Linked DNA regions of Rhinolophus ferrumequinum. The protein of the gene in region 1 interacts with the protein of each later gene in a pairwise test. Links are inferred from orthologs where the notes say so. Each region holds a gene or a part of one and is shown in the gene's direction. Other genes may lie near its edges.

Evidence for each region.
Region 2: the proteins of TRIM63 (region 1) and PKM interact in a two-hybrid assay, tested with the Homo sapiens proteins (3 studies listed by BioGRID and IntAct). The link is inferred for Rhinolophus ferrumequinum from reciprocal best matches to the Homo sapiens genes TRIM63 and PKM.
Region 3: the proteins of TRIM63 (region 1) and cytochrome b-c1 complex subunit 1, mitochondrial interact in a two-hybrid assay, tested with the Homo sapiens proteins (2 studies listed by BioGRID and IntAct). The link is inferred for Rhinolophus ferrumequinum from reciprocal best matches to the Homo sapiens genes TRIM63 and UQCRC1.
Region 4: the proteins of TRIM63 (region 1) and MYOT interact in a two-hybrid assay, tested with the Homo sapiens proteins (2 studies listed by BioGRID). The link is inferred for Rhinolophus ferrumequinum from reciprocal best matches to the Homo sapiens genes TRIM63 and MYOT.

Annotation. Positions count from the first base shown.
Region 1 is NC_046292.1:17,858,609-17,865,503, reverse strand, and holds the start of TRIM63 (E3 ubiquitin-protein ligase TRIM63), read left to right. Parts: upstream 1-3,878; 5' UTR 3,879-4,020; coding exon 4,021-4,179; intron 4,180-5,082; coding exon 5,083-5,255; intron 5,256-6,895. UniProt on the Homo sapiens protein: E3 ubiquitin ligase. Mediates the ubiquitination and subsequent proteasomal degradation of CKM, GMEB1 and HIBADH.
Region 2 is NC_046289.1:97,339,746-97,346,920, reverse strand, and holds the start of PKM (pyruvate kinase PKM), read left to right. Parts: upstream 1-4,151; 5' UTR 4,152-4,374; intron 4,375-7,175. UniProt on the Homo sapiens protein: Catalyzes the final rate-limiting step of glycolysis by mediating the transfer of a phosphoryl group from phosphoenolpyruvate (PEP) to ADP, generating ATP.
Region 3 is NC_046300.1:7,507,615-7,514,472, forward strand, and holds the start of cytochrome b-c1 complex subunit 1, mitochondrial, read left to right. Parts: upstream 1-3,851; 5' UTR 3,852-3,935; coding exon 3,936-4,004; intron 4,005-4,227; coding exon 4,228-4,398; intron 4,399-6,858. UniProt on the Homo sapiens protein: Component of the ubiquinol-cytochrome c oxidoreductase, a multisubunit transmembrane complex that is part of the mitochondrial electron transport chain which drives oxidative phosphorylation.
Region 4 is NC_046307.1:13,099,739-13,106,642, forward strand, and holds the start of MYOT (myotilin), read left to right. Parts: upstream 1-3,885; 5' UTR 3,886-4,056; intron 4,057-6,634; 5' UTR 6,635-6,842; coding exon 6,843-6,904. UniProt on the Homo sapiens protein: Component of a complex of multiple actin cross-linking proteins. Involved in the control of myofibril assembly and stability at the Z lines in muscle cells.

The DNA of each region.
Region 1 (6,895 bases):
CCATGTGGGAATTTCCCTGCCCCACCCCTTGACTTTCAGCAGTGCAGGCCTTGCCAATTCCCAGGCTGGAGTTGGTCCCACTGTCCATTTGCTTCACTTTGGCACCTGGACTGCCAAGTGTGGCTGGAGAGTCAACAGACCCATGTGAATGGCTCCTCACAAATGGCAAATCTATGTTGGGAAAGCATCAGCAAGGCTCTTCTGCTCCCAGACAAGTCCTTCCACCCCTTTCTAGGGTACTTCCTCCTGTGTTTCACAATGGCTGGTCCAAACTTTTCCCACCACCCATTCATGCTACCCTTCCCCCGCCTCAGCCTTAGAAGTTGACCTTGACTCTCTTGACCGAGGTCATCTATATGAGCACTTTTCTCTGAACCTCCCAACACCTCTGATTCTTACCTCCACCTTTTCCTCTCTCCTCTCCTCCCATCTCAAAAGTTGGAGTGTCCCTCTCCTTTCCAAGGCTTTAGAATTTACTCCAGCACCCCTCCGACCCCAATCTTCCAGTACTTTCTCTCCACTGACTGCACTCTCAGCTAAAAACTTAGTCAAGTACCTTGATCTCCCCCAAGCCTGACGGTGACACTGCTGTTCCCTTGTTTAATTCACTTATTCACTTGTCCACTCATTTAAGAAACATTTGTTGGGTGCCTACCATGTACCAGGCACTGGAGGTACAGAGATGAATAGAGATCATCTTTGCCCTTAAAGCCTTCAAAGTTCAAAGGGACAGTCAGACTCGCGGGTGAGAGAATGACAATTGAGACGTAAAGATGGATCTGTGCTCACTGCTGAGATTTACTGGTGTGCAGTGGGAGGAACGGGGAGCCCAAGAATGGCTCTCACTTTCTGGTCTGCGCAAATGGGTGGATGGTAGTGCTGTTCCCTGAGGCATGAAACAAGGAAAAGGGAAGGAGGAGCTTGGTGTGGGGAAGATGGTGTGTTCTGTTTGGGGTATGACACGCCTGAGGTGCTGTTGGAATATCCCAGTGGACATCTCCGACAAATCTTCAGTTTAAGGGAGAGAGTGGCCTGATCTGGAACTGGACATTTGAGGAGCGTTAGCCTGAGGGAGTTGGACTCATGCATGTATATAGAGTGCTCTCTGCTGCAAGCAACAGGATAATTACACCATGAGGACATTTGTTATGTCACATATTAGTGAAGAGGTGGGCATTTCCAGGGGTGGGTAACCTGGCAGCACAATGATGGCATCAAGGCCCCCAGTGCTTTCTTCAGTTCCTCTTTGTTTGCCCTTCTCAGGGAGCAGATTTCTTCCTAGACTTGTCCTCTCTTGATTGCAAGATAAAATGACGCATACAACCCCATTCAAAGGCAAGAATGAACGTTTCTTCTTGTACTTGACTTTTTGTTAGGGAGGAAGTCTTTTATCTTTAGGCAAAGGAGAATAGGATTATCATGACAGATATAAGGTTTTGTCTCTGGTGGCAGTGGAGAGGCCCACCTTCCAGGAGAAATGCTGCTTGAACAAAACCGTCATGTGAGCAAGGAAGAGGGATGGCCTCTTCGATTTTCATCCTCTTGCAGCCCCTGGCGGGCCTGGCACTGTTGACCTATACAGTTCGGTAGACACACGAGGAGCTTGGGCTCCTGAATCAAGCATATCTGGGATCCTGTCCTACAGCCACTTTTTGCAAACAGTGTGACCTCATGCAAGTTATTTATCTCTCTGTGCCTGAGTCTCCTCATCTGTGGAATGAGGATTGCGTTACAGTGATTTATAATAAGAAATATATATTTGGTCTTCGCCCATTTCTGGCTCAAGGCTCCCTAAACACTTGTTATTTCCTAAGTGGTGAGAGTGATGAAGGTGTCTTTTGTTATGTGATTGAGGTGACTGGAAGCACCCAAGGATGGGGACTGGCTGCCAGGAAAACCAACCACGTGATTAGAGGGTTAGAAATTTCAGCCCCATCTTCCCCTGATTCTGGGAAGGGAAGAGGGGCTGGAGGTTGAATCAATCACCAAGGGCCGATGATTTAATCAATCGTACCTATGTCATGAAGTCTCCATAAAAACTCAAGAGGACATGGTTTGGAGAGCTTCTAAGATGGTGACCACGTGGTCCTCGGAGAATGGTGCCCCTGGAGAGGGCAGGGAAGCTCCGTGCCCCTTCCCATGTCCGTTGTCCTACGCATCTCTCCCATCTGGCTGCTCCTGAATTATATCCTTTTATAATAAATCCTTGATCTATTACGTAAAATATTTCTCTGAGTTCTGTGAGCCATTTTAGCAAATTAATAGAACCCAAGGGGAGGGGGCTATGGGAACCTCCCATCAATATCCAGTCAGCCAGAAACACAGGTAAGAAGAGCCTGGGCTTTTGGCTGGTGTCTGAAGTGGAGGGCGGTCTTCTGGGACTGAGCCCTTTACCTGTGGAATCTGATGCTATCACCTGGGTAGATAGCATGAGAATTGAATGGAATTTTTGGACACCCTGCTGGTATCTGAGAATTGTTTGTTGGTATTGGGGGAATCCTCTGTCTCTCATATTGGAATTGGGTCTAAGGAACCCTTTTCAGGGATATGGTTCTTACGTTGTTGAGATGATGAAATGAAATGATGCATACAAAGTACTTAGCACAGTGTCTGGCACATAGTAAGTGCTCAGCGAACACTAACCATTAATATTTGGGGCAACCACCCTTTCCTTGAAATTCCCCAGCCCCGTGTGTTCTAGGCCCCCTTCTCTTTCTCTGACTGGTCCCCCTCTTCTTTTCCCTCTTATTGCCTCCCCCAAGGTTGGCTTCTTACCCTCACTACTCACTAGGTCTAGTCTCAGGGCTCTGACCATCAACTTCTTTCCACACTGAGGCCATCAAACCTGCTCTCCTGCCATCCCTCTTCCATGAAGTCCTGGACACTCCTATATGTTCCATACCCTCGTAGGTACATCCTGAGGCCTGATGTTACTGCTCCTACTCTCACCCCCCGCACCTTAGCCTGGTGGCCCTCTGTCCCTTTACATGAGATTCTACCTTAAAAGCAGTCATTGGAACTGCTGTAATGACTTCTACCTGTCAGCCCGGAAGATGTCCAGAGGGACATGGAGAAAAATTTAAATTGGTGCAGAGAGCAGAAGGGAGCATCTGATTAACTTCTAAGTGACTTGGTAGAACTTAGTTATTTCTGTCTGTCTTTCTCCCGAGGCTGTGAGCATCTCAGGGCAGAGAAAAGGATTACTCATCTATCTGTCACCTTGGTTCCCAATGTATAGTTAGTACTCAGAAAAATATCTCATGAATGAATAAGATTCCTGGCTTTGCCACTTACTTTTTTTGACTTTGACTAAGGTCCTTATTTGACCCCAATTCAAAATCTATAAAGTGAGGGGATTGGACTATGTTTTAAGGGAGCCCTTTCAGCATTACAGTGGCATTAATGGCCAAGGGATGGGGGTCAGTCTAGCCAGGGTGGGGATCTCAAAGTCTCCAGAAACATGCTGTGCTCAGGTCTGAGGCAGAGGGATGGGCTCAGAGAGAGGGGCTGCCCGGGATTCCAGAGCAGGGATGGACCTAGTGGTCACTGAGGGGGCACTGGCTATTAACCCCACAAATCCCAGTGGCCCATTCTCTGGGTCCCATCCCTAGCCTGGTGTGGGAGGAGACTGATTTCTGGAGGAAACTCTGGGTACCCAGTCCTCCCCCAAGTGTGCCCACGAACAGGCTGTTCTTGTTTACGACCCCCGTCCCAGGGGAACAGCGATTGCTCATACGTACATGTGATTTGAGAGGCCAGTCTTGCAGGCCTGGAGGAAACTCAAGCCCCGCCAGCCGCACTGGCACTGGAATGCTCAGCTGGTCCCCTCCTGGGGCTCATGTGACCAGGGTCCAGCTATAAATATCGGAGGGGCCTCAGACCAAGACAGAATTCAGGCGCCGACAGAAGAAGGCCAAGAGGCTCCAGGCAAGTGTTTTGTGACAAAGGCAAGACCGCAGGTCTACTCAGACAGAAGCAGGTAAAGGAGGCAGCCAGGTGGGCCCCACACCTCCTGACAGTATGGATTATAAATCAAGCCTGATCCAGGATGGGAACCCCCTGGAAAACCTGGAGAAGCAGTTAATCTGTCCCATCTGCCTGGAGATGTTTACCAAGCCGGTGGTCATCTTGCCGTGTCAGCATAACCTCTGCCGGAAGTGTGCCAGTGACATCTTCCAGGTCAGTTCTGGGCATGGCCTCGTCCTGGGGGCCCAGGTGGCTCCTCAGCTTTCCTGTGATGAAAGCTCATCTCTCTTAGCCCAGGATTCTTCTAAGCCAGGCCGGTTCTTTCCCCTGCAAAGTCAACCCCTGCAAAGGCCACTGGACAGGGCTGAGGGCGGCTGGGGAGGCAGCTCTGGCTGCCCTTCCTTTTCCATGACGCATATTTCCCCTCCCCACCCTGCCTGCAGCTCTGCCACCGGCCATCTCTGCCCTGAGCACCGCAGTTGACTCTTCAATCAGGAATCAAATGCCTCAAGTGATAAGTGAGGGAGGCAGGCAGAGAGGAGAGAGAAACCAGACCCCTGGGGCTGGAGCCAGCTCTCTGGTGGCAGGTGGCCCAGAGCTGCAGGAGGAGGGTGGCCGGGAGGCCCTGGGCAGTGGAGCATCTTCCCTTTCAGGCTTTTGCCTCTAATATAGGGGAGGAGGGGCTTCATCTCCCTAAGAAAGGACTGAGAGTGGATGTCCTGGCTGGAAGGCAGTACTCAAGATTCCCCAGGAGCACTTTACAAAGTGTTCTGTCACTATTTTATCTTTAAAGTAGCAGCCCTAGGAGCTGGCTCTAATTACAATGCCCATTTGATGAATAGGTAAACTGAGGTTTGGAAAGAAGGTTGCTTGCCCCGAGTTACTCGGAGAATAACTGTGACTCAAACCCAGGCCTGCTGACTCCCAAACCTGTTGATTGCTTCATTGCTTCTCAGGTGCTCCCTGTGTAAGCGATCTGCCTCTCCTCTCAGGATAGGGGCTCCAGGTCATGTGGTTTGAAAAAAATGGTTGGAATAAGCAGGGGGCAGGATAATCGGAGATTAGAAAGGGCTGAGGAGGGAGCCCAGGCCTCATCTCTGCCTTTGCCACCCACAGGCTGCAAATCCCTACTGGACCAACCGGGGTAGCTCGGTGTCCATGTCTGGAGGCCGTTTCCGCTGCCCCTCCTGCCGCCATGAGGTGATCATGGATCGTCATGGAGTGTACGGGCTGCAGAGGAATCTGCTGGTGGAGAACATAATTGACATCTACAAGCAGGAGTGCTCAAGGTCAGTTTCTCCGGCTGCTGCGAGCCCGTCCTTCCTCCCCAGCCATTCTGTGCCCAGCTTCCCAGGCTTCTTCCTCCTTCCTCTGTTTGGGATCCTGTCCCCTTAGTTGGACGAGTGACCCTAGCCAGTCTCCCTCTTTCTCAGGCAGGAACAGAGAGGCTCACTCTATCCCCCCACCCTGATTCTCCATGTGACTCAGTGAATGAGAAGGGGCCCAGGCTGCCCTCCTGAAAAATACTGAGATAGGAACCAGGGAACAAAGATGAGATATGAGAGGGAGAGAGAGACGCTGGGGCCAGCTAAGTGGCCCTGATAAACAGAGAACGCGCCGTGAGAACATAGCCAGTTTCTCTATCGTGAATCCACAGCTATGGTCCCATGTGCCAGGAGGCACAGTGCCAGGCACAGGGAACCTGCTGCTTCACAACAATGCTATGGATCAGGCATGACTTTCATCATCCCCATTTCACAGATGAGGAAGCTGAGACTCAGAGAGGTGAAGTCAATCACCCAAGTTTTCCCAGCTGGGAAGGGGAAGAGCTGGGAGTAGGCCCTGTTGATCGAGCTCCAGGTCTCCATGATTGTAGAGTAGCAGCTCCGTCTCAGGCAGTTTGTGAGTGGTAGAGCTTGTGTAGTGTTGGGCCTCCAATTGGAGAGAGACACAGCTACTAGGGAGATCTTTACAAATCAGGACATCCTGACAAGACTTCCAGGCTGCTGACCTCACAGATCTTATGGTCCCAAACCATCACCGAGTGCCTGCCTGCAGGCAGTGTCCTGCCCAAGGAAAGGTGACAGACCAGTCCTAGTGAGAAAAAGCCCTGGCCTGGGGAACTGTGTTTGCTAGTCTGACTCTATTACTAACGTGCTGTAGGATCCTGGGTCAGTCTCTGGGCCTTCATTTCCCATCTGCAGAGGGGACAGTAAGATTTATTATTGTGACTCTATCAAATAGGATTTTGATGGGAAGTGTTAAAAATATCAAATATGTATTGAGTACCTACTGTGTATAGTTACTGCACTAAGTATTTCCTATGCATTATCCCTTACAGTAATCCTATAAGACATTCTTACACAAGGAAATGGAGGCTCAGAGAGGGTGACGGGTTTGTCCAAGGCCACTCAGCTTTCAAGTGGTAAAACTGAAAAACAAAACAAAACAAAGTGGTAAAACTGAGAGGGAGCCTTTCTGACTCCATGATGAACACTACCAACTGCTGTTATGTCTCGTGTTGCCAGGGCTCAACACTCCAAAAATGTAAATGTATTGTTGATCATAATAAAATCAATATGGCACCAATATATTAGCCCACTTAGTGTCGACCTATAAAGACCATGTTGTGTTTGAACCCTTCAAAGTCCTCCTGCATAGCCGGATGACAATGATAGCCGCCATGTTGAGGGTCTGCCCTGTGCCAGACAGGACACATTCCTTACAGACAACCCCTGCCATGATCCCAAGGGCCCTGGGAGGGATCCAAGGCTCAGAGAAGGGAAAGCACTTGTCCAAGGTCACACAATGAATAAATGCAGAACAATCTGGATTCGAACCCAGATGCTAAACCCTGGGCTTAGGAGGTGCCCGCTATATTAGAGGCTGGGAAATCAGAGGTAGTGTAGACATGGTGGTGACTCTAAAT
Region 2 (7,175 bases), on another chromosome or scaffold:
CCCCATTTTGTAGTGTCCCATATAAAAGCAACAGGACTTTGAATCTGAGATGTTTGAGAGCCATACACAATCACATCTGAAAAAATTCAAAATATACCCATATATGGTTGTAAAACAAATCTAATTAAAACCCTATTTAAAAAAAAAAAAGAACACCCTATGACAAGAATGCCTCCATTGCAGAGAAACTTGCAGGGCTTCTGGAGAGGAATTCTCCCACAGCCTGCAGAGGGATTTGGGAGCCCCTTTCCCTCACCCAGGCCTGGCTGGCTACCTTGGAGGTGGGGAGGTGGGGCCTGTGAAAGCCAGGTCTGAGCAAGAGATCATCCTCCTTCAGAGGCCAAAGCTATTACACATCCTGCACGCAGAGGTTGCCAGTGGCCTCTTTTCATATAGTCCCAGGCTCAAGCAGCCTTACGGCATTTAGACCTGGACATGCTTCCTTAGGGCTACGGTCAGGGCCAGGAAAAGAACTATTTACCTCACAATTTGTTCCAGGTGGAGAGTAGATGGCTGTGATTTCTGGATTGAGAACACAAAAACCCCAGAGAGTTTAACTTTCTGCTTCTCTCTGATGGTAATTTTCCATCCATGCAGGGTGTGGCCTTGACTCATTTGTGGGGAGGATGTGGCCATCCATAGGGGAAGAGCCTTCTGCTTGATTCTGCCTTTCAGACTGGCCAGTGGGGAGAGAGAGAAAAGAGTCTGGTGCTGAGTCATTATTGGGTTACTTACCAGCTTACTTACAGGATGGATTCTAAGATGGAGGTTTGGAAGTTGTCTCAGCTTCTGGGCCCAATTTGGGAGTGGTGGCAAGGAATTCATGAGTCACAATTCCCCAGAGTCCTCCTCCCCCAGAAAGGATGGGAATAAAGTAGGCTTCAATTCATTCGAAGGGGCATCATTCTCTCTGGAGGACAGGACTTTCCGTAAGTATTTCAGAACCCCCCTGCAATGGGGCCAAACATGCCACCCTTTAAGTTAAAGCATTGCCCACCAACATTATCTAGGACAGAGACCAGAGTGTCCTCAGTCCTAGCCATCCTTTCCGGAATAAGTGGGTCAGATTAGCTGGTAGCCAGTGAGCACAGAGGGGGAGACTGGAAGCATGTTGCCAAGGAAAAAGCAGACTGGTGAACTGCATGCAGCAAGAGGACTTCCGGCGAAGGGGGCACTTGACCCATTACTCACCGATGCCTTTCTTGGTGGTCTTCCAAATCTTGATGACTTTTGAGGGATAAGATCTGCTTACATTTGCATCTTAAGGAGCCTGAACTCTGGCTACACTTGTAGGGAAAAGGGAGAAAGCATAGGGCCTCAAAGGGAGGGTTTGGCGGGCAGGATTAACCCACGCTAGGGAGGCTTTTCTTGGGAGCCCTAGCAGTCCTGAGCTAGAGAAAGATTGCTGGAGGTCCCATCAGCTGATAGAGACCCTGGCTGAGGTTGTACTTCCTCTGGAATGAATAAGGAGTCCTCAAGCTTCTTCCCTCTTCCAAGTGCTGGTGGGGCATTTCTTCAGGAGGGGGGACCTAGATACACAGTTGCATTCAGAAAACATTCTTCACTGTTCCCTTTCCCTGGAATGGCCTTCCCATACCCATCTCTATCCTAACCAACCCTCCATGTCTCCTCCATGAAACCCTCCCTTTCCCACACAGATAGCCTGTTCTCTCTGTATCCTCAACGCCAAAGAAACCAACTTCCTCTTCCTTCTAGACTTTTTCGGAGGGGGGCGGGGAGGAACTCTTGTGCCACCCTGGTGGGATTGAAGAGATGTTGGGAGTCTGAAGGCAGGCACAGAATAAATTTAAAGATCTACTTGGTCTGGCTCTGGAAAGGGCATATAAACTCCAAAGTGATAAACACTTCTGCTCTAAACCTGCCACTGAGGGCCTATGGGCTGCCCTGGAAATCTGGATTGTCCTGAGAAATAACACTGCTGTTTCTGGCAGAGGCCAAGAGGTCACGCACGGACCGTCACGTCTGTAACCAGGGCCAAAACTCATCTCTGGGCTGCAAGATTGGGTTCACTGTTGTTTGCTGACACACCTACCCCACCAAGGACTCCAAATGACCTTCGCAAGTGAAGCCATTAAACTCCAGATTCTGTGGTTCTGTGGCCCAGAACCCAGAGAGCACAGCAGTATATATCCTCACTCACAGCCCAGTCCAGTGAGCCTCGCAGCTACCACGCCAATCTGGCCACGTCAGTGAGCATGGAAGGCTCTGGAGGAGGAGCCTGGCTGCGAGGAGAATCTGTGTCCTCCCTCAGCTTTCCTGTTTCCTGCACTCCTGGGGTTACTTGTTGCTGGGTCAAGGGAGTGAAGATTAAGGAGGATGGCCAACAGAAAGGCAAATGAGTTACTAGAATTCAGAAAGGCGTTCTCACCCTAGTTACAAGGACAAGCGTCCAGGACTAGTCAATTCCCAAGGAAAGGATGCCTCTTGGGCAGTGCTGTGCTCATTCACACCCAGCATCTGATCAAACCCGACCCTGGGAAACAGGAATTGTCTTCCATTTATTTACAAGGAACTGGACTCACACAGTATAGTATACAATCACAGGGACTGATGAGTGGAATTGGAACTCAGATATGATGGAACCTACCTAAGCTTTCTTCTATACTATGCTGCTTTCCGCAAAAAGACAACACTTTAAGCGCAATGTGACAAATGTGCACTATGCATCTAACGTGAGCAGGATATGCTGGATTTGTCTCTGCCCGTTTCATGGACAGCATTTTATAACAGCTGACCGACCTCTGTCACTGAAGGGCAATAGTTTGCCACCAACTCATCAGTTTAATAGCTGTGCATTTCAATTTTGGGAATGTATCTCGATTTAGAACTTTAAAACACAAGGTAGTACAGCACTGGCCTGCCCATCCCCCTCCCCGTGTTGTCCTCCCCTGTACTTAGCTCATTCTTAGCTGAGGGGCCCTGTAAGGGCCGATCATGCTATTCCTTTTTCTCTGGGTAGGAATGTCATTATCCCTGGTGGGGTATGGCCCGTTTTCCTCTCCACAACTTCGTGTGCTCTCCCTACCTCCATGAACAAGCATTTACTTCCTATCTACGACTAAAGAGACCAGAAAAGGCTCACAGAAGAAATGAAATATTTTATCTCAAACAGAAATTTACTTGTAGGCTGTCACTTTCTCCTCCCAGCTTATCTGGGCTAGAGGAAATCATAATGAAGACCTGTGATTCAGCTGCCGGCAGGGTGTGTGCCTGAGCAGGTCACACCCATTGGTCCCATTTTCCAGGAAACGGACAGAACCTAAAAAGAACAGCCTTCAGGATTTTTAATGAAGTAACATTGTATCTGCTCTCAAAACTTGGCTGAATGAAGGCAAGGGTTAACAGCTGTTTCACTGATTACTGTTTTCAGTGGTTGTGGCTAATTACCGAGAAATTGGAAAATGCCTTGGAGAAAAACAATACTGATTTAAATACACAAGGTTGAAAACAAGCGCTGACTCCTGCAAAGATAATGGGCCCTCACCTTCTGAGTATTTCTTGACGATCAGTTCTGCATTAATAGTAATACTTTCTACTCGCTTTCTATTTCCAGGCTCGTGCTCTGCAGGATTCCAGCCCCTACTAAAGTATTCCCATGGCCCCAACTTGTCCTTCCTTGTTCCAGCCCTAAGAACAAAGGCCTCCCGCTCCCGCTCCAAGCACCTCCCGCCCTCCCTAGTTCTCCCTACCCCCACTCCCGGCCCGACCTCCAACCATCCCATGAAATCTCCGAGCTCCCCAACCTCCTGTTCGGCCCAGTCCCCGAGGTGTGCGCTGGGGTGGGCACCCGTAGGGGTGGGACGTCGCGGGGCGGCGCTGGGGGAATGCTACCCCTGGACCCATAAATCTGGGAACCGCCCGAATAGGCCAGGGCAGCTGGGGTGGCCTGGGCCGAGGGTCAGGAGTACAGCCCTCCTCCAGCGTTCTAAGTTGGCGGCAACAGGTGGCCGAGGCGCCCGGGGGTCTGGGAGGAAAGGACTCCGAGGTTCCGAGGGCGGGTCTTGCCGCCTCCTCGCTTCCCCATTGGCTCCTCACAGAGTGCGAGGATCGATTTTTATGTACCGTATCCTTCCGCCACGGAATGTAGTCCTTCCCAAAGGGCAACCTAACTGTCTGTTCCGGCGCCGCCGCACTTCCTACAGAAGGGACTGCTCCCCTCGGGGACGCAGGGGGCGGGCCGGGCGAGCGGGGAGCCAGGATTGGGTGGGGGGCGGGGCGGCGGAGGGATTGCGGCGGCCTTGTAGTCGGAATAACCTTGAGGCTGAGGCAGTCGGCTGCACGCAGAAGCGACGCGCGCAGAGCCTCCTGACCTCTCTGCAGTGTACCCGCAGCCCGAGCGAGACCACACCGGAGGTGAGCTGGAGGGAGACAGGCTGAGCCATCCGTCCCCACCTGGGCTCCATCGCCCGGCTAGTGCGGAATCTGGCCGGTCTGCGCACACAGGGCACCCATTCCGGGGCGGCGCGGGATCCTGGGCATCTTGTACCCGGTTGGGGTCGGGAGAGAGGAGAAAGAAGCTGCTCGCGCCTAGGGCCTGCTCTTCAAGGCCCCCAGCTCCTGTTTCTTCCAAAGTCAGATGACTCAGCCAGATCCTCTCCTGCCTCGATCCCTACCCCAATTCTGGTGCGATCCTCGCCTCCCTTCCCACATGCCCTCCGAACCTCCTTTCCTCTCCTCCCTCCCCCTTGCTCTCTTGCTCGCCTCCTCCCCTTGCCCCTTAATACTGATCCATTCGCCCTTCGTCTTCCACCTGCCCGTGCCTCTTTATTCTGATGCTTTCCTTGTAACCTCCGCGTTCCTCCCGCATTCAGGTTCCCGGTGCCCACCTCGTGCCGCCAGCTACCCCATTCATGCGCTTGTTCCGCCCCTCCCCCCCACTCCGGTCACGTCCGCTCCTCGGCATCCTTCTCTGCGCGGTGCGGCCCTCGCCCCTCCCACTCGGGTCTAGTCACGTTCACGCCCCCTCCCCCGCCCATCTGGTCTCGTCCCACTGCTACCCCGCCCCCCAACTCGTGTCCCCCGTCTCCATCACGGCTCCAGTCTCCGACTCCTGGAACCCGTGTCCGGGGTCACCGACGAAGGGCAGTGGTCTGCGGGCCGGCAGAGCTGGGTCGGGTGCGGCCCGGGATGCAGCGGTGGCCCGGGTTACGTAACCCTGGGCCTTTCCGGCTGCAGGGAAAGAAAGGGTTGCACCTGGGTGCTCCAGATTCGATGCGGTGACCCAGGCGCTGCGCTCGCTCCGGGAGCGTGGCGGGGCTCCATCCCGCCGCGGCGGAGCTGCACGTAGTAGCCGGCGCCCGGGACCGGCCCCGCTCCGCCCCGCCGGACGACTGGCCTGCGGACCCGTTACCGCCCAGCCTCACCTCGGGCCTGGCCAGCCAGCCGTCCGTACGGCGCGGAGGCCTCCTCGCCTCTGCTTCACGTTGCTTCACAGATGCGCCCAGATTGTAGAACGCGGAGGTCACGGGGTGGGTGGGAGTAGGTGTGGGTAGCGGACAAATAGGTCTGGTGGTTGGTGCCACGTACCACCTTCACTCAATAAAAACTGTTCAGAAGCTGTTTGCGGGGAGGGGGATGGAGACCCGGATAACTATACTGGCCATTGCCCACAGAGCTCACAGCCTCGTTAGAGGACGAACATACCGGTAGAAGTTATCACTGGTTAGTGTGGTGAGGCAGGTACGCCCTTCCTGCTTGGGGAGGGCTTGGTGACAGGAGGCCTCACAGGGTGGCATCACACAGGGTTTGAAGAAGCAGGAAAGCACCTGCGGTCTGAAGGTTATTTAAAGGCACCCTTGGCTTCTTATCCGTGTGCTTCATTCAAACCCAGGCCATCGATCCCCTGCTATGCAAGTGACCTGATAGGTGACGTCGGTGTATGGTGGATAGAGGCATTGGGAGGTGTCAACAGGCGTTTAGAATCAGGTTTGACTCATACTGACAGGAGTGATGGAGGGCCTTCAGCCCCGGGGCCTGTTTGCCATGTGTAAACTGAGTAACATTTTCCTCATGCTTGTTGAAAGGATTTGTCTCTATGCACGCATCTAGGTGTATGTGTGTTGTAGTGTCTCATCTCTGGCGAGAAGTCCAGCAGAAATGCCTCTAAATGTGTTCTTTTAGTCACTGAGCACAATTAACAGGTAACTGAGCATAAGGGTTAATCTTGATGCCATCCCCAAACACACACTCACAGTTCCTTTTTGGAGGCAGGCTCTAAATACCAGACATCTCCTGGAAACCAATTCCCTCAGGGATCCTGGTACAGTGTTCACAAAGTAGCTAATAATGTGACTTTGTAACTGCACTTCAAACAGGTCTCCTGAGAATGGGGACCTCTAGACAAAGGAAGGGGAGGGCATTTCAGTCTTTGGTGTTTGGCTATAAGCGGAAACAGACTTACAACCCCAAGACTGAAATCTTCCCTACCCGCCAGCTGGGTTCTAGGATTCGCTCAGCCAGCTGGTAAGTGTGAAGTTAGGACTGAAGGCAGGGGGCACTAACCCTCTATTGGCTGTACTGAGGGTGAGGCCACTCCCTAGGGGAACAGCATTGTTAGCAAATAATTTGCCCTCTGGTTGTTTGAGGATGGTGCTGGGAATGCAGTGGCGCTGTTCTGAGGGGCTGGTAACCCATCACCAGGTCTGTGGGGAGGATGACTGAACCTCTCAACGTATCAGCTTTTGAGAGAATCCTCTTCATCAGGTGAGCGGGAAACATGTAATCTTTGCAGGTGTAAAAAGTCCCCTCTCCCCTTTCAGTGAGTCAAATAACAAAGCATGTATTTCCTGCAGTTAAAAATGTCTCAACTAAGTGAAAAATGGTTGTTCCAGGTCCCCAGGCTCTCTGCTGCCCTACGAGCTGAGGTGCAGTGTGGCACAGCCCTATACCCTGGTAATGCAGTCTGCGCCTTCTGCAGTGGGCATGGCAGCCTCATGGGATAAGGGCTGTAGTGGACTTGAATAAGGTATGAAAGAATGTCTTTGAACTCATTTCTGAGTGACTGGACTTGAGGCAAAATATATGGGTGTTAATTTCTTCCTGTCCAGTACAGCTACTCTCATTGTAAGCACTGTGTTAGAAGTAAATAATTTTAGTGTTGAATTCATAGTTGAACCAAGAGCGTTATTGCATCTTTAAGAAATGTGCCCCTGGTG
Region 3 (6,858 bases), on another chromosome or scaffold:
GGGGCGCCTCAGGGGCCCCCAGTGTGGTGGCAGAAAACTTGACCATCAGGTCAGACTTCCAGGGAGTGCTGCCCAGTAGTGATAACCTGGCTGAGTCAGATTAGGCTTCAGGGCCTGCGCTGCGGTGGGGGCTGGAGGGTAAGCCCGGGCTGCCTTCACCCTTATGGTGTCTCTAACGTGCTCTGGTGCCCGAGTGGTCCTTCCTTCAAGGTCTCCAGAAGTGGCATGCAGGCTGAACTTCCCCAAAGGGTCCTCACCCTCTTCCCTTCTGCCATAGGCAGTCCAGGTTGAGTGGATACTGAGGCCTATGCATTTCTAGAGTCTCTGTTTTATAAAAACCATAGAACATTATGAATTCAAAAATAGAAACAAGTGAATTAAAATAATGAGAAATGAGAAGTTACCAATGTTATAAAGTTGACATACTACAATGCCAACTCCAGAACAATAACATTTGTGGTGACTTCTTGATACATTTCTGTAATACTTTTTCCCCCACATTCTGACTGCTCACTCTGATGGCCTCTATGTAGGGTAAGGATTTTGTAATTAAATATTTTCCATACAGAAAACAGAAAAGATAATTCGGTCTTCTTTCTAACATGGTTGATTGTGATTTGTGTTTTAGTTATTAATAGTTTAGAAAATTTGTTTCTCTATTTCTCTCAATTTGTTATTGATGGTGTCACATAAATGGCCTGGATTGTTTTCAATTTTGAGAAATCATCACCAACTTTCTTTCATATACATGCTGACTGATTTGGAAGAATTTTCCACAGATGGGCTTCTGAATCCATACATTTCAAACCTTGTTTTCCCTCTCTGGCCCCCAGTTTTTCCGGCACTGGACACTGTGGGGCAGGTTCTAAATGCAGTAGGATCTTGCACTTCTGTCCTGATCAGGAGTGCTGACGCAGCAGGAGGTCCCTGGAAGCCATTCCTACACCAGGACAAAAACAATGAGTTAACCATGCACAGGAGTAGAGCAAACCACAGAAATATTTCCCTCTGAACACAGACCAAGTGCGTCCCTGTACAACATGAGAAATGTGCTGCCATGTCCCCCTTCAAGGAAAGCCTGCTTCTCCCAGCGCCTGATGAGGCAGCCAGAGGATAGGTCCGCCTGAGCTGCGGAGAGCCCCATCCCAACTGGTTTTCTCCCTCCCTCAGATGCCAATCTTTTTGTTGTTTTTAAGATTTTGGGGGGGAAGGGGAACAGGACTTTATTGGGGAACAGTGTGTACTTCCAAGACTTTTTTCAAGTTGAGTTGTCCTTTCAATCTTAGTGGTGGAGGGCGCAGCTCAGCTCCAGGTCCAGTTGCCATTGTTAGTTGCAGCGGGCAGAGCCCACCATCCCTTGAGGGAGTCGAGGAGTCCAACTGCGAGAAACCTTGTGGTTGAGAGCCCACTGGCCCATGTGGGAATCGAACTGGCAGCCTTCGGCATTAGGAGCACGGAGCTCCAACCACCTGAGCCACCGGGCCGGCCCATCTTAAAGGGCTCCCTGGTAAACACCCGGATCTCCCTCTTGGAGTCTGCTCCCCAGAGAACCCAGTCTGGGACAATCTCCAACTCACCTTCCGCTTGGCTGGAACCCAAAAATGTCACAGCCTCTCCAATGTCCCCACATATAGGGAAGTGGGATAGAGGAGAATCCGAGTGGGAAAAGGACACAAGTCCTAACTGGATGCAGTTAGGTTATCTTAATTTTGCAAGTTTTCCAAAAATACTTGATCCTATGGACATTACTGGGGCCCCTCCCAAAGCCAGGAAGTAAAGGGCGTTCAAGGTTGAACTTCATCAGCCTCGTATTAGGCCCACTTCCATACAAGGTTTAATGAGCACCTACTGTTTGCTAGCCCTATTGTGGATGCTAGGATCTTCTGGTGTGCAGAACACTACTGGCTCCTCCCTCACCCACTCACAAATAGGGGAGTGTGGTCGTGATGGTGGTGAAACAGACTCAAGAAGGCAATTACTCTGCAGAGAGGTATGCTGGCCCAGTCAGGGTGGGGCAGGTGTGGGCTGATTGCTGGGACCTGAAGGATGAATGGGGTGACGAGAGGAAAGGGAGAGTGTTCCAGTCAGAAGGACTAGGGCCTGGTGGGGGAAGAGACCTTGACCTGTTCTAGGAACTATACAGTGGTAGGGATTTCAGGGGAAAGAAGAAGCTCTGGAAAGCAGGAGGGAGCAGGCTGGGGAGGGGCAGGAGTTGATGCCTCCTAGGGAAGGTGTGGAATCTGTGGGTATGTTACAGTACATGGCAAAAAGAACTTTGCAGGTGGAATTAAGGTTAAAGAATTTAAAATAGGGAGATTATTCTGGATTATTTTGGTAGGCCTAAAATAATCACATGAGCCCTTCAAAGCAGAAAAGGAGCACAGATTCAAAGTACTTGATCCTCTGCTGCTAACTTTGAAGATGGTGGAAAGAGCCAAGGAATTCAGGTGGCCTCTAGAAGCCGGTGATATGACCTCAGGTAGCAGCCAGGAAGAAAACAGGAAACCCAGTCCTACAAACCACGGGGATCTAAATTCTGCCAACAACTTGAATGACCAAGGACATCTTCTCCCTTAGAGCCTCCAGAAAGGAACACAGCCCTGTTGATGCCTTGATTTTAGCCCAATGAGATCCACATTGGACTTCAGGCCTACAGAACTGTGAGATAATACATGTGTTGTTCTAAGCCATTAAGTGTGTGGTAATTTGTTATGGCAGCAATAGAAAACATATAGATGTTGGTATCAAGAGTGAGGTACTGCTGCAACAAATTTTTTAAATGTGGAAATAGCTCTGGAATTGGGCAGTGAGCAAAGGCTGGAAGAATATCAAGGAGCATAACAGAAAAAGCCCAAATTGCCTTTGTGTGGGTTCAGAATGAGCCACCCAAGATATGCCTCAGTGGTACGTGGATTATTTTGAGCTAAAGTCAACTGAGGCCCTGTGGACTCAAGAGAAACTTTTACTCCTCCCCAACCATCTAGAGGAATTTGAATGAGGAGCCTTGCCCATAATAAGAGATTATCAGAGATAACCTTTGTTGACCTATCTATATGGCAGGGCAAACTACTAATCACAGCTATGTCTCACCCTGCAATGACAATCTGAAGCTTCAAGGCGCATTACTCACCCCTAGCTCAGAATGCCTTATGCATCCATTTTCCCTTTCTATCTCTGAACCTCTCATGTAGGTAAGGTTCCTTCCTGTGCACACAAAATTGAGCTTGATTTTCTCTTGTCAATCTGTCTCTTGTTGATTTTTCCACCAGCCCAAAGAATCAGAATAGGGAAAGGGGAATTTCTCCCCTCTCCCACACCTTCAACCCTTAGCAGAAACCTGAACTTGAAGAATGCTGCCAGTGAGGGCTCAGAAGGAAACGGGGAATGTGTTTTTGCAAACTATGAGAAAAGACCCAGGTCTTGTTGCTTGTGTGTTTTGTTTTCCAAACAAGGAATCCTTTTCAAAATTTAGTCTCAACTGCTCCTTTTTTCTTAGCAATATATTGTTCAACTCCTTCTAAGTCAACCGTTTGAATTTACTTCATTCTTTTAAAGAGAAAACCGTGACTTGCAGCAATCTTCCTCTTAGCCCCCGGATGAGCCCCCCGCCCGCCAGGCCGCTCTGGGTACGCAGTGGAACCGAGGCACCCGCGGATCGTGAGAAATATCGCGCACTCCGCCTCCCACTGGTGAAAAGGGAAGATGGACTGGACCTCAGACAGACCCGCGCGGGCCAACAGGGAGCTAGGTGGACTGATGCGCGCAGGTACCAGTGGATGCGCGGACAAAACCAGACACTAGCCAGGGGTGAATATCCTCGGCTTCCACCAGGGGGCGGCCGAGCGCCAAGGCTGCGGTACTGCGCTTGCGCCTCGGGCGCCGCCGCGTCCACTTTACGCATGCGTGGCGCGACCCAGGGCCGACTGGACTAGAAGATGGCGGCTTCCGCGGTTTGCCGGGCGGCCAATGCAGGGACGCGAGTGCTCCTGCGCACCCGCCGCTCGGTGAGGTGGCAGCAAGGGCGCGGGGCTATGGGATGTGGGGCTTCGGGACGCGGACAGGGAATGGGATGTTAGGGGCAGCGAGTCGAGATTGGGGAGGTCGCGGGGTCAGAGCCGTGGGAAGGTCACGGCCTAGGGCGGGGAGGGGAGTCTCTCGGCGGGCCTGGGGGCGGGGATGGGGATCCCCCTGCGGGCCTGGTTGCTGAGGGGCGATCCCCCAACCCAGTCCTCAGTCCCAGCCACCTCGTTCCAGCACCCGGCCCTGCTGAAGTCGCCTGCCTTGCGGGGCACCGCCACCTTCGCCCAGGCCCTTCAGAGCGTGCCAGAGACGCAGGTCAGCCAGCTGGACAACGGGCTGCGAGTGGCCTCCGAGCAGTCCTCCCATGCTACCTGCACGGTGAGTGGGGTCCCGCTGTCGAGAGGGGTCCTCCATATTGGAGCTGGAGTTTTCCCAGGTCTGGGGGTGACCTTGGGCTTGAGCTCTCTGTGGTTTGGGTCAGACTCCTGCTCATTCACGGCTGGATTGACCCTCCTACTCCAATCTCAACTCCAGCCCCACCTTGATTCCCGGGGTAGGGGTGGCAGTCCTCACTGTAGTCAACACTCATTTAGCATATGATGCTTGCCAAGCAGGAGGCCAAGTTTTTTTCCAGCGTTTTCTTAAGCAACCGATACAAGAGGAGCAATTCTGTCTCCATTTTACAGTAAGAAAAAGGGGCTTCAGAGACATCACGTGACTGCCAGCCTCACAGCTCAAAGTCCTAATCTCGCTAGACCAGTCATGCCTTGCGGAGGAGATATATTTGTTTTGTTTTGTATGTTCATTTATTTTGTTCTTTAGATTCCACATATAAGTAAGATCATATAGTGTTTGTCTGACTTACTTCACTTACCGTGATACCCTCTAGGTCTATCCCTGTTGTCTCAAATGGCAAGGTTGCATTCTTTTCCTAGCAGAGTAATATTCCATTGCATGTATGTACCACTTCATCTTTATTCAGTTGTATGTCGATGGGCACTTGGGTTGCTTCCATATCTTGGCTATTGTAAATAGTGCTGCAGTGAACATAGGGGTGCATGTACCAGGTGTGATCAAAAACTACGCGGAATGCTCCTGCCAAGTGCCATCCAGCAGAAAGGGATCTTTAATATGGGCAGTGGTGTGTCGAATCTTAGTAACAGTGTGTGACAAGTTTCATCTTATTCGGTGCAGCCAGTCAGGTGTGAGCTATGGCTGAGAGGTGTGTTTTAAAGTGTGCTGTAAATCATGGATCACAAACAACGCATTAACGAGAAATTTTGTTTCAAACTGCAAAAAAGTGGTAAAGAAACACACAAAATGTTAAAATAGTTTACGGTGATACTGCCTTGACCATGAAGATGGTTTACAAGTGGTTCAGGCGATTTCGTTAATGGTTGTGAATCAGTTGAAGACGAGAGATTGGGACATCCTTCAACATCAAAAACCCAAGAGAACGTTGAAAGAGTAAGCACAATGATTCGATCAAGCAGACAATTGACTATTAGAAATTTCTGAGGATCTGAACATCTCTTATAGTTCCATTCAAAGTATTTGAACAACAGATTTGAACGTGAAGCAAGTGAGTACGAAATTTGTTTCATGCGTTTAAACTGTTGAACAAAAAGCAGTAGCGTTGGTCAGTTTCGTTAGAGTTGTGTGATTGTGCTGCTTCAGGTTCCAGCTTTGTTTTTTTTAATCAGTGATTGAAATTTTTACTTTTTTTTTTTAAACTTTTATTTATTTTAAGTGTGTTTTTCTAGGACCCATCAGCTCCAAGTCAAGTAGTCGTTTCAGTCTAGCTGTGGAGGGTGCAGCTCACAATGTCCCATGTTGGGATCGAACCAGCAACCTTATTGTTAAGAGCACCTCACTCTTAACCAACTTAGTCAACTGGCTCCCACCCCCCGGCTTTTTAAGGCATCATCGCAGGAGATGAAACTTGGGTCTATGGTTATGATCCTGAGACCAAGGTTCAGAGTTCTCAGTAGAAATCACCCAGTTCTCCTCGTGTGAAAAAAATGCGTCAATCAAGACCTAACATCAAGATGGTGTTAATTGTGTTTATTGATCTTGATGGAATTTTGCAAGCTGAGTTTGTACCAAGGAAAGCTGGTAAATTCTAAATAAGCCCTTATTAGAGCATTTAAGAAATGATGTGAGTAGCAAATAGAAATGGGCAAATGGTTTCATCCTCCATCATGGCAGAGCTCTGTGTGGTCACACATTGCTTCTGGTATATGGCAATTTCTGTCAAATAAAAGCGTTAGGGTTTGTCCTCATCCACCTTATTCCCCAGATCTGGCACCATGCAACTTCTGGCTCTTCCCCAAAGTCAAAATGACCATGAAAGGTAAACGTTTTGAATCGATTCAGGACATCGAGGCAGCCACGATAGTGCAACTAAAGACACTCATGAAGGAGGACTTCCAGAACTGCTTCAGAAAGTGGCAAGAATGATGGGATAAGTGTGTTTGAAGCGAGGAAGAGTATTTTGAGAGGAATTAATGGCAATGTGTTTTTTACTATAATATTTTTAATTTAAACATTCACCCTCTTTTTTAATCACACCTCATATTTTTTTGAATCAGTGTTTTTTATTTCCTTGGATAAATATCCAGAAGTGGAATTGCTGGATCATTTGGTCAGTCTATTTTTAATGTTTTGAGGAACCTCCACTCTATTTCCCATAATGGCTGCAGCAATTTGCAGTCCCACAGTGCACGAGGGTTCCCTTTTCTCCACATCCTCACCAACACTTGTTTGTTGATTATTGATGATAGCCACCCTGACAGGTGTGAGGAGATACCTCATTGCGGGTTTAATTTGCATTTCCTT
Region 4 (6,904 bases), on another chromosome or scaffold:
TATAAATATGCAAAACATTTTGTGATAAAGGTTTCTTCATGATCAGTCTTAGAATTATCCTTGCATTCAGAGGATAAATGTATAAATGGAAAGGTAATTCAGTAAGTAAATCTGCCAACCAGGCTATGTTTAAAACAACACAACCCACCACCAGCCTCATGCCCTAAACACAAATCTCAAACCAAAATATTGATTTAAAAAATAATCTAAAAGTCATATAAAAATTGTTTTAACAATATTTAATAACATAGTCCACTCAATATTTTACCAGCCTAAAGTTACCTTTAGGTTAAATTTAGGTTATACACATTTAACGTAACTTAATAAATCAGCATTCTTGACTAGCTACCTAGAACTAAATGTAACCTCTGTTAATTACAAAATAAAGATATTGGAATCTCTGTTAAGAAGAGATTTCTTGAGTAACATTTGGGTTTATTAAGTGAGAGAAATATATCATGTTAGATTTAGACGGAATCAGAGGTCATCTACGTGAAGTTCCTCATTCTACAAATGACTAAAACATAGGTGATTGGCTCATATTGTTGAGGGCTAGTTCCTCATGCTTCCTTGACCTTGGGATAGAGAATTCTCCAAGTATTTCTTGCAATGAAGACAGTGAGGGCAAGAGTTTGGACCTGAAGATCAACAGACCTGGAACAATGTATGTGACATACATAGTAGTCATAGAAATCAATAGATAGTAGTTATTACTTCACCGCATTTTTTTTTTTAAGCAGGACCAGTTTATCTCTAATAACAGTGATTTCTCACTTGGTCTCCTGGAACCCCTTTAGCTTCTGGGATCTCTAATTGCCTTAGCAGTAGCTACCCTATAAACAAAGTTTCCTCATGGGGTCAAGGAAAAACGAAGAGTGTGGAACAATAGATAAGACTGCAACTTATTCAACATTTATTAAGCACAATCTATGTGTTTGTCAGTTTCTCTACTGGACTTGCCTTGGGAAGATGGCCAATACTGATTATCTAAAACTTTTCTCCATGAGTACCTGTGTTTAGCAGTAAGCCTTTAAGACTTAAAAAGACTTTGCATCTATAATATCTTTCATAGGAGATTACCACCTTTTTCATTAATAAAACTTTCTATGGGGAAAATTACTGAGTAAAAGTTCCATAAAAGCTAACAAGATTTTATGGAATGTCTACCATGAGCTACATTGCACTAGGCAAGATAAATAATAAACAGTCCCTTCCTTAGGAAAAAAGTTAACCTAATTGAGGAGACATATTATGCCACATAATAGTCCATTATGATTTCCTGTTTCATTTGAGTCTCTCAGCAACCCTCTGATTTAGGTTAGTACAACAGATGCTATCTTTGTTTTTCAGTTAATTATTAAAGCTCAGAGAGTTTAAGCAACCTGTCTAAGATTACACAGTAAGTATGTAGAGTGGGCACTAAGACTCAAGTCTCCAAAATAAAAAGATCAATGTGTCTAGAAAGTTGTGAAACTTAACCAAATTAATGTTATCATTTTTACCATTCGACTCCAAACTCAGTGAAGACCCATTATTATTTCTTGCTTGAGAAGACTATGAGTCAAGTGCTAGAATGGATATTTCAAATTACAAGTGCTACAGTGGGATTCCCTTTCACTATATGTCTATGCAGAACTTCAGCAATCACAGTGAATTATGCATAACCTGAAAATAAAATGTTCTTCACTCTTTAGTCCTTTCATCATCAATGGGACATTTCCCTTCTCAGTTGATATAGCAGAAATTACCTTCATCACATTCATCACACACATCTGACTTTAGAAGAAGCTCACAGCACCCTTTTCACAATAGCATATATACTTCACATTTTGAAAAACAAGGGCTATAAATGAAGAGGGAAAGAATGAGTGACAGTTAAACAGCTACCCTTCCACTGATGATGGGACAAAAAGGAATTCCCTTAAAATGCAACAGGAAATGTTTCGGTGAGATAGTAGGAAATTACCTACATTTTCTAAGGCATTAGAATGACTTGCCAGAGGCTCTTACTGATAATTTAGAGAAAGAACTAGGAAAAAGTTGTCTTTGGAGGCAGGTTAGAACATGGTTCACCCATTTGACATCTCAATGATTCTTTCAGGTTTAGCATGATTTTTCTCAAATAAGCCATTCACGTTTGTGAGAAAACAACATTCAAAAAAGCAAACCAAACATTAAAAAGTAGAAAAACAGACTCATAATGGATTACTAAGTATAGCCCCTACATTTAATGGTCTGCAAAATGCAGTCATCAAAGAGGACCTTCCTTACCTTTCCCAAATCACCACCTGCCACCCCATTGCAATGAGAACCTCAGCCTAGATATACCATGGAACTACTACACTGTAACCAATGTTATATCTTACAAAGGCCTAGGGAAAAGAAGAGGCAAAGCTTAAAGGATTAAAGAGTAAAATTTAACAGTTTATCCTGGGCGTCTTCCCTACTTGGCTGGTAGGAAATATCTCAAACTTTTAGGCACTAAGAAACCTGAATCTAGTGTCTCCTCCCCTTGCCCCAATCAAAACCTGTTCTCAGAAAGAACCAAATATCCATCACATACACCACATGTGAAGTGCCCAGAATAGTGCCTGATTCATAGTGAGTGCTTTAAGTGGTTACTCTCATTTTTATTGTCATTTGCATTTACATTTTAAGTCCTTCTAATTTGGATTAAAAGACTTTTTCCCTGTTGATGGAATCTGATCAGCAGCAGATGTGGAGAAATATTTTGGGAAATTCCTGAAATAAGACTTTCTAGGCAAACACCTACACGTCAAGTCTAGTGTGCTTTTTCTACTAAGTAATGGCTGCATGCCCAGGCATCAATTACCAAACTTTCTCTAAACACCAAAGGAAGATACACCTACATAGTCAGCTGTGAAGAATTTTATGTGGCTCATATGTGCTCAAACATCTATTTATTGGGCCCTAATGTACACAGGAACTAAATCAAGACTGGAGTACTCATGAGGGAAGGAAATAAACACATACGCTTTAAACAATAGAACCACACCGAAACTGAAGCCACTGAAAGGGGATAATTCCACTCAATTGGCCTGATCCTCATGCCACCTAGTCTTCTCCACCATCTCTTTCGTTGACTTAAAATTTTCTTCCTCTGTAAGTATTTACTTCCCTGCACAAAAAATGGAAACCTAAACATCACGATGGTCTCCTCGGTAAAATGACAAAGGAAAATGTGTAACTGTTAGAAGAAAGGGAGATAAAGGAGAGTTGACAGCACAGAATCCTAGTGGTACAGATTGCTTATTTGTTTGGTAGTTTAAGTGTTTCGGAAACTTTTAGAATAAAATTACAAGGTCAAGGCAGCATAATACCATATAGATTCAGAAAACTTGCCAAAGATATTAAATTGTATTTTTCCACACCCTGTGACACACCACTGTCAATCACCCAGCTCTCCTGCCTTTAGCCAGACCACACCCCCTTTCTTGAAACAATCTGCTTGATCCCTGCTCCACCCCCACTCATGTTTAGCAAGAGGGGGAAAAAGCCTTCAGATGAACAACTATCCAATACAAAATCAATTTGGACCCCATCCACCACTGGTCTAATTCCTGGAGGAGTCTTATGAGATACACCACCAGTCGTAGAATATATGAAGGGATTCATAGTCCTTCTTTCTTCAACAGGGAAGTCAAAGCCCCCACCACGATAAAAGAAACTGAGTTTTCTTTATACTTTTTCCCATTTCCCAATTCACTGCTCTTCCCCCAAGAGCTTGTTAAAGCTCATAGCTAAAATTCACATCTAAAATAAAAAGGCCTGCAAGAGAAGCTCATGTAATCCCACTCCTTAAATATCACTAAGACATCTGAGATATTGTTTAGATTGTGGACTCTTACTTTGACATGCCAGCATAGGTAGATAGACAGGCGAGCACATCAGATGTCACTGTTTGGCAGCCGGTAAAAGTCAGTGGTGCTATAATATTAAGCACAGAGCCACTAGATTAGTCTGTGAGGGAAGGGGATGCCTCTTCCTTCCCTTCGACCGTGAGTTAAACCCAGCTGGCACCCTCTGGAACTACCGGTAAGTCCCTTCTTTATTCCTGCTAGTTTTTTTGTTTTGTTTTTTGTCCAAATCAGCGGAGTGTGTACAGAAGTGATCTTCAGATAGAGTTTGAAAGCCACAACATCATAATGGTATTACACAAAGATTGGAAGAGAAACTGATCTATTCATCCCATTGAAACTGGAAGGCATTATAGAAAAGGTAGAAGAACAGATAGTTATGTTATTATTTTTTAAGCCATCGTTTTTCCTTGAAAGGGGACACTTGGTCTGTCTGTAATTGTGGTGATATCCTACAGCTTCAAAATATCCTCAGTTTTGTGTGCAAGTCTGTGCTATAGTAGAGATAGGGGGAAAATGTTAAGATTTTTTAAATAGGAGACTGAATAGTATTTTATTTATGAAATCTTTACATTTATTTAACATTATTTAGAAGGAAATGATACTGTAATGTAATAGAATCTAATCTAGAACTGAATTGTTGAACAGTAATTATAACCATGAAGAAAAGACTTTCAGAGTTACCTGTGTGAATATCTGTATAAAATTTGGTAAGACAAGAACAAAATAAAATTTTTCAAAGAATATATTTTTAATTGAACTTCAAAAAATAACAGTAAATTTTAACTATGTAGGCCAATACCAAAATGAACAAGACAGTTGACATTCTAGAAATATCTGTGAAGAAAAATAGGGGACTTTGGGGAAAATATCTGCTAGCTATTTGTTAAACAGTTTATTCCTTGCTATTTGAAATGAATCTGAATCATTTGCCTGCCCAAAAAGGAATTTAGGAACCAAACTAGATTCAATTCTTAATGGAATGAAATTAACTATAGAACTACTTGCCTTGAAATAGAGTCTTTTTTTAAGAACTATTTAAAGCCTCTTTCTGGATGTTTTTCCCCAACAATTTAAAGGCCTAATTTAGTTAATTACTAAAATTCACTCTAGTTGAATGTACTTGTGATCGTAAACTTGAAATTAAGTATTATATGACTTTTTCAGTGTTCTTTTCAATAGAATCTTTCTCTTGGCTATTTAGTTGCATTTTTGTTCTTTCCTAAAGCTGCTAGTTTTCATTTAAACTACATGCACAACCATAGAATGAAGTTGTCTAGAAATTTTTCATTAAAAATGATACTTTCTTCAAGATAGGAAATAAAATAATTATAAGATTTTGTTTCAATAATGACAAACACTGGCTAATTTTATTAACTAAAAGTTTGATTTATCATTACCTCAGTGTTGGTTCTCAGTATCTCTATGTGAAACAAACTAAATGTATTTTGGACTAAATTACCTGATATTTTGAATAAAGACAGAATCAATACTACAACAATTTATAGGGCTAGCCTTTGTGTATAATGTCTGCATACAGTCCTGCTTAGATTTACTCCACTAATGGGAGAAATAGAGGGATATATAATTGCTTAAGGTGATTTTAGTGACATATGATTCATCTAAAGAAAACTGGGGATCTACTGTAGGAAGTCAGGTAAACCAATGCAGAGAAAAGTAAGAGAATGGCACCCATCTTTTCTTGGTAACATCTAGGCTGGCTTCATAGTTGTTGCCTTACTTCCTTCTGTACATCCTGTTTGCTGCTCCAAAAGGAAAAATAAGAGAGAGGCTAAAATAATTTCAAAATTAGTCTAAAATACATATTAAACAGGTAAAAATAATAAAAAGTAAAATTAAATAATTAAGAGAACATCAAGACCAATAGCTAGATAGCATAATCTAAAAAATAACAGAAAAAATTTACAAATGGCTCTGGAATGCAGTCAGTAACATATATTATATACACACAGAGAGACACAAACCCACAGTCACTCTTGAATCACAGTCTAGTTTAGTACTATGGTCAAATTTGGAATCAAGGGAAGAAAAACAAGCAGCAAATTGTAAGGTGAAAAAAATCCACTCAAAGTTGACAACAGAGAATTATAGATGTTCACTCTGTGAAATTGTGTAAGGGTGAAGGAATAAATATGGATATTAAAATACTGTTCTTTACAAAAGCCGCATATTGCTCCCCTTGATTTACCACGACATCATTCATCACAGATCACTAGGACATGAGTTAATTGGTATATCACAAGAGCTGTTCATTGCTTTCGATGAGCAATGAGAAGGGTTCAAACTGAATGGAAGCTGACATGTTATATATTTAACTGCTAATATGTAATTTTAAATCATTGAATCTCTGTGCTTAATGAAACGGCAGCCTCTGGGAAAAAGCTGATCATGAGACCATAAAATTATCACACTGAGCAACATCACAGTGTATCTTTTCATAAATAACCACTTGACAAACTTTGCGCTCCTGCATCTGGAAGCCCCTGGGCATGCTTTAAGAATTACCCAGAGCAAACACCAATGAATCCTTTTTTCTTATTCTCAAGGGAAAAGTCATTCATTCAAAATAAAAGATGAAGGAAGGGGAAGTATAGAAGCCAGGAAAGTTCCACCTTGAGATGACCTTGAAAGCATATAAGCTCAAAAAAAAAAGCGCATTAAGTTCGGAAGGATGTTAAATAAACAGTACTGTTTTTATACAAATACTGTAACTGATTCATTTTCTCCTTTTGAAGGAACGATATTCTTCAAGAGAAAGCCACTCCATCAAAGCCAGGAGCACAGCATTCCCAGGATTTCCACAAGGGGCACACCAAGGCTGCTTCTGACTCCTTGCGACTTTCTGTAATTCCAGGCTTGCAGCCCCAAATTCAGGATCCCACCCCTCCAGGAGCAAATCACTGTAGTAATAAATTGCCTTCATCTTCCATATACCAGCTAAGCATGTTTAACTACGAACGGCCAAAACACTTCATCCAGTCCCAAAATCCATATGGCTCCAGACT